2 linked regions of the Saccharomyces cerevisiae S288C genome follow. Changing the gene in region 1 together with any one later gene gives a genetic interaction. Each region holds a gene or a part of one and is shown on either strand. Other genes may lie near its edges.

What was found.
Region 2: mutations in MPD2 (region 1) and ADE2 together harm fitness more than expected from each alone (negative genetic interaction), as found in Saccharomyces cerevisiae (one large-scale study listed by BioGRID).

Annotation. Positions count from the first base shown.
Region 1 is NC_001147.6:150,944-156,684, reverse strand, and holds MPD2 (protein disulfide isomerase MPD2), read left to right. Parts: upstream 1-1,939; coding exon 1,940-2,773; downstream 2,774-5,741. Other genes in the region: DUF1 (Duf1p), read left to right, coding at 1-1,398; HAL9 (Hal9p), read left to right, coding at 3,195-5,741.
Region 2 is NC_001147.6:563,976-571,134, forward strand, and holds ADE2 (phosphoribosylaminoimidazole carboxylase ADE2), read right to left. Parts: upstream 2,217-7,159; coding exon 501-2,216; downstream 1-500. Other genes in the region: GTPase-activating protein RGA1, read left to right, coding at 1-218; AFI1 (Afi1p), read right to left, coding at 2,902-5,583; ORT1 (Ort1p), read right to left, coding at 5,954-6,832.

The sequences.
Region 1 (5,741 bases):
CTCGTGCAACCATTGCCTGCATCCAAAAAGCCATATTTTAGAACGCAGAGCTCTGGCTCCTTGTTAAGTAGAAAGTTCAAATCATTTAGGTCTACTTCTGGTCGTGCCACAACAGGGTTAAACACTCCAGAGGAGCCCAAAGGAATTCTGCCAGATACTCCGCACGTTATTAATGATGACTCGGCCTTCCCTCAAGCTATCAATACAACTCAGCAGTCTAAGGATGCAACTCCAGAATCTATGTTATGGAATCATCCTTTCAAGCTAGAGCAAAAACTATCCGCTATTTCATCACAAGATTTACCGAGTAACAACACTCATAACAAACTAAGATCATCTGAAAACTCAAGGGCGAATTCCACGTCAACCTTGGAAGGCAACGAAAAGAAGAAGCCTGAGTTCATGCCCGATTTACTGGAGCAAATTCAAGAGTCTTACAAGCAACAATATATGAATACTTCTTCTCTAAAATACCTGACGAAGAGGCTTCCAGTCACCAAGATAATCAAGGCTAGTTCATGTCCAATTATTAGAGTAAAATCTGCCACGTTAGTTTTGGTCCATCTTTGGAAGGAAGGCTCATGTGGTGGCAGGGTATTATTTTCCACCCTATTACCGCCATCTCATGTCGATAATGAAACCGTCAGCGGCGGCAAAGAAAATTCCAAACCGCCAGATGATGAAGAAGTAGACCTTCAAGCTGTAGATGATGACAAATTAGGAAAATATGATCTTATTGATGGCGAGTTAGGAAGCAGACTCAACAGAAGGCAAATTTTTGAGCAATTGGAGGAAAATTTGCCCTACTGGTTTGCAAAAGCTTTATTTAGAGATATTAAGACGGTGGAAGAGCAACCAAAGTTGAACTTCTTAATCATGCCATGGTCTTCTGTTGGTGGGAGTGAGGCAGCTGGCAATGAAAACAAGAAGAAGTTTATTAGTGCATCAGATACCACAGAATCTTCTGGCAACGATAGTAGCGATAGCAGCCTTGGAAATGGTAATGAAGCCGTTTCCCCATCAACACAGCAACAGTTCCATAATATGCTAAAGTTTGGCCGTCCGAAGACCAGCGAGCAGGAGTTAAACCCCACAGATTTACCGAGAATCTCTGAGGCGAATGTCAAGCTGGTTGCGCCTGGAATGATTAGGGTGAAAAAAATTAAACTTTACGTCGCTGACAGATTTGAAACGAAAACTCCTGAAATGAAAGCAAAAATGGAACCTAGTCTTTGGTTGGATCTACTATGTAGGGGCCAAGTGCTTGATAACGATATGACTTTAAATACCGTTAGAACACTTTACTGGAAATCTCAGGGTGACATAGTTCTAGAATACAGAAGAAAAGTACATAATTCACCGCTAGTTCATGAGGTCAACGGGAATGAGGGGAAATGATAATGTTTATTTAAATTATATTTTGGGGTCTGAATTTGGAGTTTTTAAGCGTAAATATATAGTAACAATACCAACAATAATACTAATAATACTATAATAGTAGTTGCAGTAACAATGACAAGATAAAGAATATTCTTCTGAAATGTCTAAAGAACGAAGAAAAAAGCAAGTACTCATTGGAATGCTATGTGTAACAACTCATACATACTCTAGAGCTTTATAATAATTACATAGACATTTTTATAATATTATTTATTTATCAAATTTTATATTGAATAGGTACCATCAAGTTATGCACACATTCTTCATTAAAATACAGTCTGTAAATAATTGTGAATATGGGCGACCTGAATGATGTTCTTATTATCTCAAATATTTCTAATTTTTTTTAATCATTTTTGTTTCTTTAAGAGCAATTAATTTACAGAGCGGGGAACAGTGGCCAATTTTTTGAGCTAAAGAACAGCATAACAACAAAACAACAGAAAAAAAACACAGCGAGTCTAGTGCAAGTACGTCGGCAAAGTAAAACACAAAGGAGATGAAATTGCACGGCTTTTTATTTTCCGTATTATCAACATGCGTCGTCATTTTACCAGCGTTGGCCTACAGTGAAGCTGTCACGATGGTCAAGTCGATTGAGCAGTACTTCGATATCTGCAATAGGAATGATTCTTACACAATGATAAAATACTACACTTCTTGGTGCCAACATTGTAAAACTCTGGCCCCAGTATACGAAGAGCTTGGTGAGCTATACGCCAAAAAAGCTAATAAAGATGATACCCCAATTAACTTCCTTGAAGTTAACTGTGAATTCTTCGGGCCAACTTTATGTACCGACTTGCCTGGATTTCCAATAATTGAACTGGTCAAACCTCGTACTAAGCCCTTAGTTCTTCCGAAGCTCGATTGGTCGTCTATGAAATTTCATGAAAGACTATGGCAAAGAATCAAGACGTGGTTCAACAATCCTAAGTACCAACTGGATACGTCTAGGGTTGTTCGTTTTGAAGGGAGTAGGAACCTAAAGAGTTTAAGCAACTTTATCGATACTGTAAGAAGTAAAGATACAGAAGAAAGATTCATAGAACATATTTTCGATGATTCTAGGAATTGCAATGAAGAATTACGTTCTCAACAGCTTCTGTGTAAAGCTGGTAAAGAATACTACTCTGATACTTTATCTAAATTATACGGTGACGTGAATGGGCTGGAAAAGGAAAGGCGAAGACTAGAAGCTTTAATTAAGCAAAATGGAGATGACTTGAGTAAAGAAGTTAAAGAAAAACTGAAAATCATTCGTCTACAATTGAGCCTATTATCACACATAGAAGACCAGTTAGAAGATACCAGTAGTCATGACGAGCTTTGAACATAAGCTTCGCTCTGTCTTTTACTTTACGAATACCGACTACAGACGGAAGCGGGACCCTCACCCTGAGGTACAACAAATACACAGATACATATATATTTAACAATGTACGTTAGCCGCAATATAAGTGAGATTGTGTAGGTGAAAGATTATGGAGATATACATAAATATTACAGAAGGTCTACCACATGTGTTTTGAATATTGGCTTGTGCTAAGGTAACACTGTTATTTTATTCATTAGAGAAACATCTCTTACCCTGTTTGGTTTTGGTATAATCTCCAATTACGTACATGAAAGATGGCTTTATATAAAAAGCCTTTAATTCGAAAAAAGAATAAATGTCTTAGGGAGCTTATTATCGTACTTTAATTCAACTTAGGAAATCAGCACTCTCCACTCCAAATCTTCGGTTTGAAATAATGGAAAATCAAGGTGGAGATTACAGCCCAAATGGGTTTTCAAACTCAGCAAGCAATATGAATGCGGTTTTTAACAATGAAATCACCGGTAGAAGTGACATTTCAAATGTAAACCATCAAACTGGTACCCCACGTCTGGTTCCTGAAACTCAAATATGGTCGATGCCTGTGCCAGATCAACTGATGACGATGCCTAACAGAGAAAACACCCTTATGACAGGTAGTACAATAGGTCCAAATATCCCCATGAATGTGGCTTATCCCAATACAATATACTCGCCAACAGAGCATCAGTCGCAATTTCAGACACAACAGAACCGTGACATCAGCACGATGATGGAACACACTAACAGTAATGATATGAGCGGCTCTGGTAAAAATCTCAAGAAACGTGTATCAAAGGCCTGTGACCATTGCCGAAAAAGAAAAATCAGATGTGATGAAGTGGACCAGCAGACCAAAAAATGTTCAAACTGTATTAAGTTTCAGTTGCCTTGCACTTTCAAACATCGTGATGAGATTCTTAAGAAGAAAAGAAAATTAGAAATCAAACATCATGCAACACCAGGGGAATCACTTCAAACCTCAAATAGTATTAGCAATCCTGTAGCGTCTTCTTCAGTACCGAACAGTGGAAGGTTTGAACTTTTAAACGGTAATTCCCCCTTAGAAAGCAATATCATCGATAAAGTCTCCAATATTCAAAATAATCTTAACAAAAAAATGAATTCAAAGATTGAAAAATTGGATAGAAAAATGTCTTACATTATTGACAGTGTGGCTAGACTTGAGTGGTTATTGGACAAGGCTGTTAAAAAGCAGGAAGGCAAATACAAGGAAAAGAACAATTTGCCCAAACCAGCGAGAAAAATATACTCTACGGCACTTTTAACTGCTCAAAAACTCTATTGGTTCAAACAAAGTTTAGGAGTGAAAGCGTCCAATGAGGAGTTTCTTTCTCCAATCAGCGAAATATTAAGCATATCTTTAAAATGGTATGCAACTCAAATGAAAAAATTTATGGATTTGTCATCTCCGGCTTTCTTCTCCAGCGAAATAATATTATACTCATTACCTCCGAAAAAGCAAGCAAAGAGACTTCTTGAGAATTTTCATGCTACCTTATTATCCTCTGTAACTGGTATAATATCGTTAAAAGAATGTCTAGACTTAGCAGAAAAGTACTACAGCGAAAGCGGCGAAAAACTCACATATCCTGAACATTTATTATTAAACGTGTGTCTCTGCTCGGGTGCATCTGCCACTCAATCAATTATAAGAGGTGATTCAAAGTTTCTAAGGAAAGATAGATATGATCCAACCTCCCAAGAGTTAAAAAAAATCGAAAACGTTGCCTTACTAAATGCCATGTATTATTATCATAAGCTGTCCACCATCTGTTCAGGTACAAGAACACTACAAGCTTTATTACTACTGAACCGATATTTTCAACTTACCTACGATACTGAACTAGCAAATTGTATTTTAGGAACCGCGATTAGATTGGCGGTTGACATGGAATTAAATAGAAAATCCTCTTACAAGTCACTAGACTTTGAAGAAGCCATAAGGAGAAGAAGAATGTGGTGGCATTGTTTTTGTACAGATAAACTATATTCTTTAATGTTATCCAGACCCCCTATTGTGGGGGAACGCGATATGGATATGCTAACAGATCAAAATTATTATGAAGTGATAAAAACTAATATTCTACCTGATCTTATTGATAAAAAGGAAGATCTCGATAAAATTACTGATGTCAACTCTGCATTGAATGTAGTTGTAAATTTTTGTCAGCACATATCCCTTTTCATATCATATTATGTTTCAAAATTGGTTAGTATTGAGAGTAAAATATACTCTACTTGTTTTGCTGTCAGAAGTACTCTAGATCTTTCATTCGATGCCATGCTTGATAAAATCAAAGATCTCAATGATTCTTTGAACAATTGGAGAGACAACTTGCACGTAAGTATGAAACTAAAAAGTTATAAACAGTATTTATCGGTACTTTACGCTCAAAAATCCCAAGAAAATCCGGCTTTAAGTTTTGAGATTGCATGCTCTCGTGTTTTGAATTGTCATTTTAGGGCGCTATATTCTAAAGTGATTTTGAGCATGATGACTACATCCTTATTGATTGATAACGAACGCCTATACAAAGGTTCTCGCCATGATATTCCTCAGCTATTCATTCTTTTTTCAAGTCAATACTTAAACGCCAGTAAAGAAATGTTACAGCTGTTTCAAGGCATCAATTACCAGGCGCATATGTATAACGAGGTTATGTATCAGTTCTCTACTGCTATGTTTGTTCTCTTCTTTTACGTTGTGGATAATATGAACGATCTAAAAAAGAAAGGTGAGGTAAAAGAGATCATCGATATCCTAAAAAAATCTTATGATCGATTAGTGGGAGAAAATGATGAGCAGTTACTGTTTGACAATGTCAAATGGAACACTTTGATTGTGTTCTACAGCCACTTTTTGAAATACGTTTTGCAACGTTATCATGCTTTGAACGATTCTACGTCAATATTTGATTCT
Region 2 (7,159 bases), 410 kb from region 1:
CAAGGGAACATTATAGGGTGTTAAGAGTACTGAGTGAACATATAGAAAAGGTTACACGGTACAGTCACTGGAATCGAATGACGCTTTATAATTTGGCTTTAGTTTTTGCTCCAGGTTTGATTCGTGATTTCAGTGGAGAAAAGGATATTATTGATATGAAAGAAAGAAACTATATTGTCGCATTTATATTTGGGAACTACAAAGATATCCTGACGTAGCGCTATCCTCGGTTCTGCATTGAGCCGCCTTATATGAACTGTATCGAAACGTTATTTTTTTAATCGCAGACTTAAGCAGGTAATTATTCCTTGCTTCTTGTTACTGGATATGTATGTATGTATAATAAGTGATCTTATGTATGAAATTCTTAAAAAAGGACACCTGTAAGCGTTGATTTCTATGTATGAAGTCCACATTTGATGTAATCATAACAAAGCCTAAAAAATAGGTATATCATTTTATAATTATTTGCTGTACAAGTATATCAATAAACTTATATATTACTTGTTTTCTAGATAAGCTTCGTAACCGACAGTTTCTAACTTTTGTGCTTTGACAAGAACTTCTTCTTCTTGCTTTAATAAAAACTGTTCCATTTTCGTTGTATAACTTGAATCATAAGCGCCAAGCAGTCTGACAGCCAACAGCGCAGCGTTCGTACTATTATTAATAGCGACGGTAGCTACTGGAACACCTCTAGGCATTTGCACAATTGAATGTAAAGAATCTACTCCATCTAGACAAGAACCTTTTACGGGCACACCGATGACAGGAAGTGGTGTCATTGCAGCCACCATACCTGGCAAGTGAGCAGCCCCACCAGCTCCAGCGATAATTGTTTTAATTCCACGCTTGCTTGCGGAAATAGCATATGCTGACATCCTATGTGGAGTTCTATGAGCAGAGACTATTGTCACTTCAAATGGAACGCCAAAATCTTTTAAAACCGCACATGCGGCAGACATTACCGGCAAGTCAGAGTCTGATCCCATGATGATTCCAACCAATGGTTTGACCATTGCTTCCAAGTCCAACTTTTGAGCGACAGAGATTTTGATTGGAATATCAGTTCTACCTGTAATGTAGTTCAGCCTTTGTTCACATTCCGCCATACTGGAGGCAATAATATTTATGTGACCTACTTTTCTGTTAGGTCTAGACTCTTTTCCATATAAGTACACTGAGGAACCTGGAGTCGCCAATGCTCTTTCGCAAGTTTCTAGCTCTTTATCTTTTGTATGTTTGTCTCCAAGAACATTTAGCATAATGGCGTTCGTTGTAATGGTGGAGAAAGATGTGAAATTCTTTGGCATTGGCAAATCCAATATTGATCTCAAATGAGCTTCAAATTGAGAAGTGACGCAAGCATCAATGGTATAATGTCCAGAGTTGTGAGGCCTTGGGGCAATTTCGTTAATAAGCAATTCCCCTGTTTCTAAATAGAACATTTCCACACCAAATATACCACAACCGGGAAAAGATTTGATTGCATTTTCTGCCAACAACTTCGCCTTAAGTTGAACGGAGTCCGGAACTCTAGCAGGCGCATAACATAAGTCACAAATATTGTCCTTGTGGATAGTCTCTACAATTGGGTAAGAAAACACTAAACCGTTAACAGATCTCACAATCATGACTGCTAATTCTTTAGTAAATGGTGCCCATTTTTCGGCGTACAAAGGACGATCCTTCAGTACTTCCAAAGCTTCCGGAATCATTTCCTTATTCTTTACAACGAAGTTACCTCTTCCATCGTATGCCAAAGTCCTCGACTTCAAGACGAATGGAAAACCCAAATCTCTTCCAACATTCAATAGGGACGTCTCACTGGCTTGTTCCACAGGAACACTTTGGGTAACTGCTATACCATTTTTGATTAAATGCTCTTTTTGAATATATTTGTCTTGTATCAATCTGATTGTTTCTGGAGAAGGGTAAATTTTTAATTTGGGATGTTTTACTTGAAGATTCTTTAGTGTAGGAACATCAACATGCTCAATCTCAATCGTTAGCACATCACATTTTTCAGCTAGTTTTTCGATATCAAGAGGATTGGAAAAGGAGCCATTAACGTGGTCATTGGAGTTGCTTATTTGTTTGGCAGGAGAATTTTCAGCATCTAGTATTACCGTCTTAATGTTGAGCCTGTTTGCTGCCTCAACAATCATACGTCCCAATTGTCCCCCTCCTAATATACCAACTGTTCTAGAATCCATACTTGATTGTTTTGTCCGATTTTCTTGTTTTTCTTGATTGTTATAGTAGGATGTACTTAGAAGAGAGATCCAACGATTTTACGCACCAATTTATACATGAAATGCTCCATAATATTGTCCATTTAGTTCTTAATAAAAGGTCAGCAAGAGTCAATCACTTAGTATTACCCGGTTCGTAGCCATGCAACAAGAGTCATTTGTCAGCATAGCTGTAATAATCAATCATGACGTAAGAAATGTATCATAATTAAAAGTTGTTAAAGATGTCAGTGTTATGTTGGTGTTACAAAATTCTCGGCTTCTCACTAATATTTAATATCTCTTAAATTTTATCTGTCTTTGATTCTTTTAAGAAAAGTTATGTATTATTCAAGAAAAAGTCAATTCCGCATCAAAAGGTAAAATTTATATAAACTGCTTTAAAATTTCATGAAACTAGGCAACTTTTCGAAATGATCTTTTTCGAGCATGAAGTTTCTTTTATAATAACCTGGTCAAAAGCTTTCAATATATAATACATTTGGTATTTACGGAAATGAGATGATATACTGGTAGTGCGCTAGTCAAGTTCTAATTAAATTAAAATGCAAAATAGTAATGTCAGATGGACACATTGGGCGAAATAGCTAACCCATAAGCATGAATCCTGTAACTTATGTAATACGTTAATCACGATACGGCGTTACTAGTCTTCCTTTTGAGTGGTTTCTAATGTAGATTCTTGTTGTTCGTTAATTTGCTTCAAGCCGTTTAGCATTCCTGATTCGTTTGAAGATAGAGGAACAGATGCGCCAGCGAAAGATGATGATGCAATGGTAGAGGAAGTGTTGGTCGAATCTCCCTTTTTGGAAATAAAGTGTCGTTTTGATTCTAGATAGGCTTCTCGCAATTGATTGTGGAGATACTTCTTTAAAAGGGCCATACCTATGGGATGACATTCTAACCTATAGAGTAATTTCGTAATAGCATAGCAGATTTTTGACGCCCTTCTTTCTAGTAGAGGAGAAGCCCTTAGCTTGGGTGAGATGACTGAGGATGCGTTTGTAAATTCGGGATAATTGGAATTTCCAGTACCCTGCCCATTACCTCCCAGAATCCTTATATTAGGGCGTGTACTCAGTTGTAAAAACTGTCTCAATGAAGAAGATTGAGCAATTCTGGTCAAATACGTTCTTCTCCTGGACAGAGATTTTGTGAAGGGCAAATCCTGCCCACTTTCTTTTGTAATAAATGTGAGGAAAAACGCCAAGATATCAAAACTGTAAATTTGAGTAAAAAGATCTATTGCTGATACTATAACACCGTGGGGATCTTTTTCGATGCCCATATAGCTGTTAAAATTATCGAAACCCTGACGCACTTCGCTTTCAAAACTCCACCTAGAAATATTATCACCGTGTAACTGAGCTGTGGGTAATATTTTGAACGGAGAATAGTTCAAACAAGCGTTTAAAAACTTCTCAATGTTTGTCCTGCTTACCGATACCATGCGAAACAGCTCTTTAACAATGTCCAATATTTGGCTTAATTGGGAATATATTTGCTCTGTGGAAAATAACTGGCATGTGTTTCCTAAGCTAAATAAACAATTATCCAAGTTAGACAATAGTTCAATACTATGCAGTGTAAAATAATCAAAGAACTCCGGGAAAATGAAAAAATCTTTATAAAACATGATATATTCATCTTTTAGTGCTATATTAGGTGGAATTTCTCGTCTTTTCAAAGCGTCCAGAAGGTTTTCCAACTGAAGAACATTCAGCCTTCTCAAAACGCTCATGATAGTATCACTATCATGATATTCGTCGATAAGAAGAGAAAAGAGCTTCTGGCCCAAGTTTACCTGACTTTCGTTGACTGCGTTGGTTGAGAAATGAGGCCTATTGAATATCTTTCTCAAAGGGTTAGGCCCAATCTTCACTTCTGCCACTGTATCTGGCTTTTCTTTTTCTGGACTATTATTTTCATAAAACACTCCCTCATCCACATCGTAGTAATAATCCCAGATATCTAACTGGTATCGGAAAATTGGATTGGCAGTTCCGATAATTGCAAAGCATCCGACAAAATCACTATTCGATGCTACATACGCCCGCAAACCGTCAACAAGAGAAATGTCCATATAGGGAAAAATCAACGCAGCATTTCCTTTGAAGTATGATTGTGGATCGCTAGCATAAGTTGCCGTTATGTTGGCTAATGACAAAATAAAAGCGCATAGGTCTTCTTTACTCAGTTTAGTTGAATTGATGACTAACTTCCATGCATTAACTTTTTGTCCGGCTTTAAGAAGGTAAGGGACAAATTTATCCAAAAATTTTAAAACTAGTTCATTATAATCATTTTCAATATAAATAGGCTCTCTTCTAATCATATTAAATTGCAATGGGATTTTTAACAAAAATGGCGGGAGCGTCTTTGGCTGAAATCTTGTAAAATGATATTGAATGAGTTGGTCATGAAAAGTCACAATGTTACCATACTTGTCCTTAGTGTCAAATCCATTGATGCAAAAGAGTTTCTTTAAAGTGGAATCCGGGTCTAAAAATACTTTGGTAATGATAGATTCGTCATGGATAGAGTGTAGCACTTCTTGTATACTACTTTTGGAATGTATGTCATTAATCAATGTAAGGTCAATACTGTTTAGCATATTAAAGCAATCAAGCAGTATGTCTGTAGCAGCAGCTTGAGTGGGAGCTTTCATATACAAGTCTAACACTAATACAATAATATTTTTGAATGCAAAGAAGGTTTTTAATGGTGTTCCGATGGCAATCGACTTGATTACTGCCCCTCTATCGTTCGTGGTGTCTAATACTGTGTTGGCGACATTTATGAAAAATAAAGGTTCGTTGTCGATGGCTTTCTGATTATTCTGAACTTCCTGGCATTCGAGCTCATCATCTTCCAAGACAATAGTGTATCTATTATTTTTTGCATCTTGATGATTTTCGGCATCGTAATATATGCTATTGGTAACACTACCATCTGACTGTTCACGATGATGCAGATTGAAACTGAAACGAGGGTCTTTTGGCACAGGAAAGAGTTGATAGTTTTGAGTAAACTTATTGTAATAAAGGGTAAACACTGTAATATCTTGTTTGCCGGGATTTCTCTCTATGCTACTCGGTATCATTAAACTTGCCAAGTTCATAGACACCGACGTATTGCCGTTGCGTTGCTCATGTGAGAACTGATTGAAACCTGGAATATCTTTCGGGTATTGGTGCTTCAAAATAGGACCTAATTTATTATCAAATTCTGCGGATATTATATAGCTGACATTCGGCCTTTCAAAAGGAAAGGATTCATTTTCTATCGACCTGTTGCTGATAGAGTTATTTAGTTCTCTTCGCAACATCCGGTAGCCAAAAATGTTTGCGTACCAAAGACTCTAACAGTGGGCGGTACTATGCTTGATCTTGATTTTATAGAGCTTGCACTTTTATAGAAGAACCATTGCTACCTAGACAGTTTTTTTTGTTTACATTCGAATCATTTTTTTTTTTGCATTTAGTTAAATCCGAAGTCCTGACTAGATAATTTACTGTCAGAGAATAGTAGCATCTATGCAAGAAACTGGTATACAATAGTCGAGAGGTTGTTGTAAAAAACACAAAATACTAACACAAAGCCTGGCTGTTGAGATTGTGCGACATTCTTGATCAGTAAATGGTATTACAGACTGTCTATCAATGTTACATACTTGCTTATTACACGATTTATTGTATTTAAAGTGCAGAAAGAGTCTCAAAGATGTAAAAAACTGCAGCGTTTGCTGGTACTGCCCTAAAAAGGGTTATACCCAGTCCTCGATAAAAACCCTTTAGTCCAAATTTGCCAAATATCTTCTTCACCGCATTGGTGAGGCTTATATGTTCAGTTTGCATTACTGATTTCACAGTATCCGCAGGAAAAATACTGGCGTTGAATGCCAATCCAGCGCTCCCTCCACTAATAAGTAGTTCCCATATCTTACTTTCATCTCTTTTTGGGTCATCAAGGGAGTGCCTATCTTTCAACGACTTCTTAACTATTTCGTAGGTTGCAAACCAGGCAACACCACCGAAGCTTTCTCGAATAAAAGTGCCCGATTGCCCTTGCCACAATCCTGCCAATCCTCTCTCAGTTATAATTGCTTTTATTGTAGGCAACACCTTTGTATGTTTCGTTTTAGCTGATGCAACTTGTAAGTTCGCAACCTGCAACTTACACTTCACCAGCTCCACGGGTGTCAAAACTAAACTAGCACATGAACCCGCTACTCCACCAGAGATCAGGATTTGCCCCAACGGGGAAACGTTTGTATGTTTTTCTAAAAATTTAGAACATTGGTTATAAGACACAAATAATGTCGCGTTCTCCAGACATGCTCCAACTAAAGGTGAAGCAATGCCTTGAAAAAACCCTCGTGCTATTCCTTCATTTTGGTAAGTAAATTTTATACAAGACCATGTTGTTGGGAACACGTTGGATGCTTGTGTTTGCAACCTGACTTTCACAGTATCGAAAGGAAACTCGATCACCTTACCACAGGCGCCTGCAATGGAACCGTTTATTATATCGAGTATAGCGCCTTCTATTAATCCTTTCTTTTTACTGTCCTCCATTATACGTTGACCTTCCAGAATTTGAGTTCCCTATAGGTTAAAGAAAAGTTTCTACGACAAAGCATCTACGCTTTAACAATTAACTATACCCGTGCTTCGATAATTTCACACTTTTCTGAATCTATCGACGCCAGGAGCAGAGAACTTATCATTGGCGATTCTTGACGCTGCGGCCACAGCGGCCACAGCGGAAAACGTATATGTCACATTTTTCGAGCTCAAGGTGAGTCACGATGCAGAACTGGAACGTACTAGGACTAAGTTGCAACGATGAAACTACAATGCTACGCTTTCTTCGTGCTAAGTACTCATTGTATCCATTAATAT